2 linked regions of the Sus scrofa genome follow. The protein of the gene in region 1 purifies or fractionates together with the protein of each later gene. This does not show direct contact. Links are inferred from orthologs where the notes say so. Each region holds a gene or a part of one and is shown in the gene's direction. Other genes may lie near its edges.

Evidence for each region. The genes of interacting proteins can lie anywhere in the genome.
Region 2: the proteins of DDX20 (region 1) and SNRNP70 purify together in Homo sapiens (affinity purification with mass spectrometry; 4 studies listed by BioGRID and IntAct, counting the BioPlex papers as one, with this or other methods). This does not show direct contact. The link is inferred for Sus scrofa from reciprocal best matches to the Homo sapiens genes DDX20 and SNRNP70.

The regions. Positions count from the first base shown.
Region 1 is NC_010446.5:108,626,158-108,629,802, reverse strand, and holds part of DDX20 (probable ATP-dependent RNA helicase DDX20), read left to right. Parts: intron 1-189; coding exon 190-295; intron 296-428; coding exon 429-530; intron 531-3,158; coding exon 3,159-3,645.
Region 2 is NC_010448.4:54,286,922-54,291,276, forward strand, and holds the start of SNRNP70 (U1 small nuclear ribonucleoprotein 70 kDa), read left to right. Parts: upstream 1-1,432; 5' UTR 1,433-1,655; intron 1,656-1,856; exon of another isoform or gene 1,857-1,925; intron 1,926-2,411; 5' UTR 2,412-2,421; coding exon 2,422-2,568; intron 2,569-3,956; coding exon 3,957-4,019; intron 4,020-4,127; coding exon 4,128-4,182; intron 4,183-4,355. UniProt on the Homo sapiens protein: Component of the spliceosomal U1 snRNP, which is essential for recognition of the pre-mRNA 5' splice-site and the subsequent assembly of the spliceosome. SNRNP70 binds to the loop I region of U1-snRNA.

The DNA.
Region 1 (3,645 bases):
TATATTTTTGTCTTTATTCTTGAAATTAGTCAGTAGAAATGAATATCCTTTTCCTTTGCTACTAAATATCTTCCTTGCTCCTAAATATTCTCCTCTTAATTTGGCTCTTGGTTATCCTAGACTAAATAATACAGTGTGCTCATGCAATAGTTCATGCAAACAAATAATTCTTGTCTTCTTCAATTTAAGACTTCCCGTGGAATTGATGCTGAGAAGGTGAATCTGGTGGTAAACCTGGATGTCCCATTGGATTGGGAGACATATATGCATCGGATTGGTAGAGCTGGCCGCTTTGGTAATAAAAATAAAAAAAAAAAAAAGAATTTGGGTGCTTTCTTTAAGGGGAAGGATCTGTAATGTGACATGTGGACTTGAAGCATCATCTATGTGAAAACGATTTACTATTTAACGTTCCTTCTGTGCTTTAGGTACTTTGGGACTGACAGTGACCTACTGCTGCAGGGGAGAAGAGGAAAATATGATGATGAAAATTGCCCAGAAATGTCATATTAACCTTCTGCTTTTACCAGGTATATTTTGTCTGTTTAATTTTGCTGTCAAAATTATAGTGGTTATAATGATAGGCCTAATAAAAATAATCGCTAATATAGAGTACTTTTGATGTGTTGGGTACTGTTCTGAGCACTTAAAGTTTGTTAACTCATTTAATTCTCACCACAGTGCTGTGAGATGTGCTACTTTTTGTCAGTGAGGGTATTGACGTATAGCGAGGTTCAGTAACTTGCCTAAGGTTCTGTAGCTAATAAATAGCAGAGAGAAAATTGTAAGACTAATGACACATGAAAAGTGGAAAAATAGTACCCTGTTGTGTTAACTCCATATTTTACTTTGTAGCCTTGTAGTTTGATTTTATTCTTTTATATCAAGGGGTGTATTTTACCTCTTATATTGCCCTGAAGCAGTTCTTGCCATATTCTCCTTTGTCACCATGGGCAAGGAACAGTTTCTTTATTTGAACACTATTCTGAAAATTTTGAAGTATTTTCTTTTGATTTTAACAAGTCATTATTAAGCTGCTTTTTAAAAGTGCCATCTTGGAAACAATGCATGTTTGAAAGTACCAAAGAACTCTTGAAAACTTAAAAAAAAAAAGAATCCTTGGAGTTCCTGTCATGGCTCAGAGGGAACGAATCTGACTAGGGTCCATGAGGATGCAGGTTCGATCCCTAGCCTCACTCAGTGGGTTAAAGATCTGGCGTTGCTGTGAGCTGTGGTGTAGGTTGCAGACACGGTTCGGATCTGGTGTTGCTGTGGCTGTGGTATAGGCCAGCAGCTACAGCTCCAATTCATCCCCTATCCTGGGAACCACCATATGCTGCAGGTGTGGCCCTAAAAAAAAAAAAAAAGACGTAAGAAAAAAAATCCTAAAGAAACTCTTGGATGGAAATACTGTTTATTTGCTGTACAGCTGACCGCTGAACAACGTGGGGGGTTAGAGGTGCCAAGCCTCTGCCCAACAAAAATCCTTATGTAGCTTTCAGCCAGCCCTCCGTATCCATGCTTCTGCATCTGCTAATTCAGCCAAGCATGGATTGTGTAGTATTGTGGTACATACTGGAAAAAAAATCTATGTAAGTGGACCCGCGCAGTTCAAACCTCTGTTCTTCAAGGGTCAGCTCTCTGTGTTAATGTATGTGTGTGTGTGTGTGTGTGTGTGTGTGTGTGTGTGTGTGTGTGTGTGTGTGTGTGTGTGTAGTATGTACGTGACCTTCTAAGAGATGGGATGTGTCGTTACTGAATGACTACAACATGAACATTTTACCAATTTATATTGAACTCCTTTAGTGGTTTTCACAAAGCCGGATTAAGCACAGGTTTGGGAGTACTGTGAATCTAGTACTTTGGCTTTGTGGTAACTCATTTTATGATATTTTTACAGATTTCTTTAATTGCTCTAAGCTTATCTCCTGACTTACAAAATACTTGTCTTTAGATAGTCTTCAGAGTCTCTATCAGTTCTAAGACTATATTATGTTAATTCTCTCTATGTATAAGACATTCATAATTACAAATATGGAGAAAATAAATTGGAAATTGGTACAAAAGCGTTAGGACTTGTGGTAGGATTTAGTATCATAACATGTAGTGATAAAAATAAAATTTGCCTTTGGATACCAGAAAAATGAAATGAAATGTTAACAGAGCCCTGAAATCATGAGAAAGCGGTATTTGTAGTGTTAGATCTGTATTGGACTAGACACTTGTGTGACGCCAGGCTGTTGAGCTGAGTTGCCAGGAGCAGGAGGGAAATTGGCCTGAATGCTCGGTCTCCACAAGCCAGGGGTGTCTCCTTACTAGGAACCTGTGTTTAGCCAGAGGGTCTGTTCAGCAAAAGGTCCAGAGCCCCAGCTTAAGGATCCCCGTCTGAGGGATTAAGTGGTGGACCCGCATACATGCAGCAGCAGCAGCGGCGGCAGACAGGCAGGATCTGCGCAGAGCAGGGCCTCTGTGTACCTGGTCGGCCAGAGATGAAAACCGGTCACCCTTAGGGAAAGTCTGAGTGCAGGTGGAAACAAATGGTCATACCTGCATGGGATAGGAAATTTAGAGAGTTGGGATAGGAAACTTAGAGAGCTGGAGCCAGCACGTTTTTTAAAACTTCAAAGTGCCGTTGGTACCATAGATCTTTTCACAGCCTCTAGCTTTTTCCCCCTCTAGAGTTTTTTCCTGCCGCTGTTGAGGGCAGTGATTTCTCCCTGGTAGAAGTAGGGGGGCAGATTTACTCGGGTAGAGAGTTGCAGCTGTAATATTGATAGGCTTTGGGAGCACTGTCTGTTGTCTACGATCTTGTTTTGCTGTTACCAGCAGTGAGACAGTGGGAGGAGCTGAGGAGTGGAAAGATGGGAGGACGGCTGGAGAGGCCCTCCCACTCCTAGAAGAAGCGCTTGTCTAGGGAGGGTGTGGAGGGAGAGAGTTGCTTGTGAATATGGGATGGGTCTTGAAAATTTGGGGGCAGATTTCTTCACTGCAAGGATGGCTTAAGTCTTAAAATACTAATGTGTTAAGCTTCTTAGTATGTTATTAGTGTATTTTGTTTCTTAATCTCATTTGACCATAGAAAGCTGTTTGAAACCTTTCAGAAAATGCTGGTCTCGAGCAGCTCGAGAATTGAATGTTTCTTTATTCCTTTTATGTAGATCCTATTCCTCCTGGTCTGATGGAAGAATGTTTGGATTGGGATGTGGAGGTTGAAGCTGCCATGCATACATATGACTTAGCAAATGTACCTACCCAGCCTCTAAAAAAGCAAATTCAAAAAATAGAGAGAACCTTTCAAACTCGGAAAGCTCATGGTAACCACGTGGCTTCATCAAGAAATACTTCTGTATCTGCCCTCTCAGTAAAATCAAAAAATAATACCAAACAAAAGCTTCCCATGAAAAGCCACTCAGAATGTGGAGTTGTCGAAAAAGCAGCGTCACCCGAAGAACCGGGCAGTGCTGTACAATTGGAAGAGCAAATGAAGAATTCCGTTCAGAACTCTGTTGAAAACTCAAATAACAGTCAGCACCACGTCAAAGACGCTTCTGTGTCACTCCCCAAAATTCCTTGCTTGTCTTCCTTTAAAATTCACCTGCCGTGCACTCTGACTTTTGCAGAACTGGTGGAGGATTATGAATGCTA
Region 2 (4,355 bases), on another chromosome or scaffold:
ACAACAACATAACGCAGTGTGTGTGTGTGTGTGTGTGTGTGTGTGTGTGTGTGTGTGTGTGTCTATTCTATGTTAAAGAGGCGAGAGAGACATGATAACCAAATAAACGCGTGAACATTGACTGGCTCCTGTTTCAGATTAAGATAGAGTTCTCATGAGTCAACTGGGAAAATCTGAATAGGGGCTGGATAAACTTTCTAAGAGGTGAAAATAGCTGTGTTGTTGGGCAGAGGATGCCATTATTCTTAGGAGACATGCTGAAGCATTTAGAGGTGCAGTGTCTCAGCCATTTACTATCCAATGGTACTAAAAAAAAATACATTATTATTAGCTTTATTTTTCTTCAAACTTTTTATTTTGAAGTAATTTTAGAATTATGGAAAAGTTCCAAAAAATAGTGCAGAGTTCCCACATACATATACACAGAAAGCAAACGTGTCTATGTATACGTTATCTGTTTTTTAAGCCATGCCCATGGCATGTCGATGTGCCCTGGCCAGAGGTGGCACCTGCTCCACATCAGCAACCCAAGCCAATGCAGTAACAATGCTCATTCTTAACTTGCTGCGCCACGAGAGAACGCTTCAGGATATTTTTTTTAAGTAGCATGATATTAGCCATTTAAATTTTGTAGTAATTTCTGTAATTATTATCAAACAGGCAATTGAATCTATTCCCCAAACTTCAAATATTTTAACTTCTTACAGGTCTACAGGGCCCTAAATAATCCGCCAGCTCTCTGCTCTCTCAGCCAACATGAGATTCCCACTTTCCGCCCCAATTCAGGACCTTTGCACTTGCTGTTAAACCCGCCCAGATCTCCCTTCCATCAGTCTCCTTCTCCAGAAGGACCTAGTTCTAAAATAACCCCTCTATCCCCGCCCATTCCCGTACTCGGCCCTATTTTTCTTTACTGTGTTGGCCACCGTCCGAAATTTATCTTTTTAAGTGCCTTTATTGTCTCCCTCAGTACAATGTAAGCTCCAAAAAGGAAAAGACTTCGCTTCAGTCGCATGGTATATCGCCAGAGCCCAAACAACGCCACGCACACATTGGGCGCTCAATGAACAGTTACTGATTTCCTAGGTTAAGGAATCACACTGTTCACGTAGGAACTCTTTGCCAGGCGGCGGAAGGATATTTCAGTGTGAAAGACGTTACAGGCATGCGCGCAAGATCCGGGAAGTGTGTAAGAAAAGGCGTGGAGCATCAAGAGTCTCGCGGACAGAGGCAGTTGGAGCCCTGAGCGCGAGGTGAAAGGGGACCGCTTGGGGCGGAGCGCGCGTGCGCACTGTGACCTTCATCCCGCCGCGGCAAAGGAGTTTAAGGTGCCGGAAGGCGGGGTAGTGGCCTCGCGCGTGCGCAGTGCTCGCAGCGGCGCCAAGGTTCCTGTGTGTGGGTTGCACTTGACTCGCGCGGCGCGTGCGCAATAGGGTCGGCGGAGGGATTTGAGGCTGGTTCCACCCCTTGCCCCTGTCGCGAGCCGAGGCCGCGCGGGCTCGTGAGCTGTGGCCTGGTGCGCGCGCTGGGCGGGCGACAGAGACTGAGAGACGCGGTCGCCGTCTGAGTCGAAGCTAGAGCTAGAGTACCTGCTGCTGTGGGGCCGCCGCGAGCCCCTGGACCGTCGCCAGGCCGAGGAGGGCGCCGCGCGGCGGGTGAGTATGACTGAGTGGCCTTACCGGGTGCGGGGCCGCTACCCACAAGCCCCTGCGGTGGATCCCAGTCCCTTCCCCGGGGCCGGGCAGTCTTCCCGCGCCACCGCCACCACAGAACCTTTTTGCACGCCTTACCCAGAGTTCTCCGGTCACTTAGGCTTTTTCCATAGTCCCCCTCCCCCGCCCTCAGCGGTCACTTACCCACAGGCCTTTGCGCTGTGTTGCCTTTTTTCGTCCTCGCTTCCCTTCCGTCCTGGACCCTTACCCACAATCCACTTCGCCTGCGGGGCCTAGATCTATTACCCACAACCCCCTGGCTTGAGAGGTTTGCTGTTTATGACTGACCCCTTCTCCTGATCAGAGACCTCTTGCGGTCCTCCCCCTATAACCTTTTATCCAAGGTGCGGGACCACCAGCCGCCACGGCCCTAGACCTCCTTCCTCGGGATCCTTGATGCCCCACAAGCCCCCAGGGACCTTCAGCCCCGCAGTTCCTTGCTCAGGACTTCACTGCTCGGAAACCTGTTTTCAGTCTTTGTTTCTCTTCTCTTGCCCTCCCCCTCCCCTCCCGTTCACACAGCCCTCCCTCTAGAATCTGCTTGCCCCTGTGATTAAGGATCGATCGCGCTCTGTGTCCTTACAGGAGACTTTGAGATTTTTGTCCGTGTTTCTCTCTTTTCTTGGGAGGCAAGGGATTGATAGGGGCTTCATCTCCCCAGCCCACCCTAACATAAGATGGTCCTGCTTCTGCTCTCAGACTTGGCACGATGACCCAGTTCCTGCCGCCCAACCTTCTGGCCCTCTTTGCTCCCCGTGACCCCATCCCATACCTGCCACCCCTGGAGAAACTGCCACATGAAAAACACCACAATCAACCTTACTGTGGCATTGCGCCCTACATCCGAGAGTTTGAGGTGAGTTCACTGAAGAGGCTTGGAGTGGGCTGGATCGGGGAGTCTGGTCTCTGGCGATTTTCTAGCTGTGTGATTGAGGAAGGTGGCTTTTATCCTGTTTCCCTGTCTTAGATTGGTAACACAGCCCTTGTAGGGCTTTTGTGAAAATTCAGTAACTACCAGTTGAGGATTCAGACTCTCGAGTTAGGTAGTCCTTGGTGCGCCATTTATCGGTTGCGTGATGATCTTGGGCAAGAGGTGTATCCTCTAACTGCTGTGATTTTTTTCCCCCCCATGTTTAGCAAGGGAATATTAGTGTCTTTGATGTAATTTGATGGAGAATTGACTGTTTGTTTTTTTTTTTTTTTTAACGTTATGGGGCTTGACGCCAAGCAGTCAGTAAACATCAATTATTTCTTAACGTATAATGACCATTTTGGTCATTAATATGGTGAAATTTGTAAAGGGTTAGCACTTGGTGATTGGTGCATTGAAGACCACAGGCTTGAGAATTGCAGCTTTGTACCTGCAGGGTGAACAGAGATAAATGGCTTTGGCCCATGGGCCTCGGTTTTTTCATTTTCGAAATTGGGTTAACAACATCCACCTGTTGAGGTGCATCGGCGGACACCCGAGAAGTGCTGGCACACAGGAGTCAGAAGAAGAAAGTTCTGGCATCAGGTGGGAACGGGGAGGTGAAGGAAGTTGTGGAGCAGAAGTTTAGTACAGAGGTGACAGGAGGTTGGCTCTATAGTAGTATTTGCCAGCCTCGGTGAACCGGTATTTGGAAAATATGACTAGCCAGTTAAGTCAATGCAGTAGTTACAGGCTGGCGGCAGATGTGGTCATGTGACAGTTACTGTTTAATGAGTGCTCGCCGAGACCTTCAGGAACTACCCTGGCCCTCAGAAGGTGTCCAGTTGTTTGCCTCTGAGCACTGCACTGTCAGCTTCTTTTGCTTCAGGCCTGGTCCCAATTCTTATCTGTGATTAAGGACAAGTCTGCTGCAGAGTGGTGCTTTTGATAAACACAAGGATTATTTTCACTTTCTAGTATTTTTAGAGAAAGGCTACAAAGTTAAAAAAAAAACAAATCAAATTTCATTTGTTGAGTTCAACAGATATAAAGCTACTCTGTCAGATTGCTGTCGAGGTTTCTGAATACTTAATGCCAGTTTCTGTAGTTCTCTTGTCACAGACCAGTAACAGTTCCCAGATAGCATGGGGCATGGATCATGCTTTGATTTGCACCATTCCCCCACCTCCACTGGCCTAGGAACTGGCTGTGTTTGCACACATGCGTGTGTGTACAAGCGCAGGGGCGTGGCTGAGATGCTCATTATTTCCTGGATGGCGTCCCTTGCTATTTTCCCCTGTCCCTCCCACCCTGTCACCTCTTTTTGTTCCCAGGACCCTCGAGATGCCCCTCCTCCAACTCGAGCAGAAACCCGGGAGGAACGAATGGAGAGGAAGGTATGTCACGTTTGCCTCATGGCCCCGTATCTTCCTTTTGCCTCTTCCCTCTTCCCTGACATCAGGGCACGTCTCTGTGTATTCAGTGGTCTGCCCTTTTTCTCACAGAGACGAGAAAAAATTGAACGGCGACAGCAGGAAGTGGAGACAGAACTCAAAATGTGTAAGTCTCTCTCTCCTCCTTTCATGTGTCCGAGTCGAGCACGCTTGTGTTTCTCTCCCCCAGGTCCACCCCAGGACTCTAATTTGGGAAAGTGAGTTCAGTTCACTTTCTTAGCTCCCTCCCTTTGCCAAGCACTGTATTTGGTTTAGGCATTTACGCAGGCGAGTGTGGAG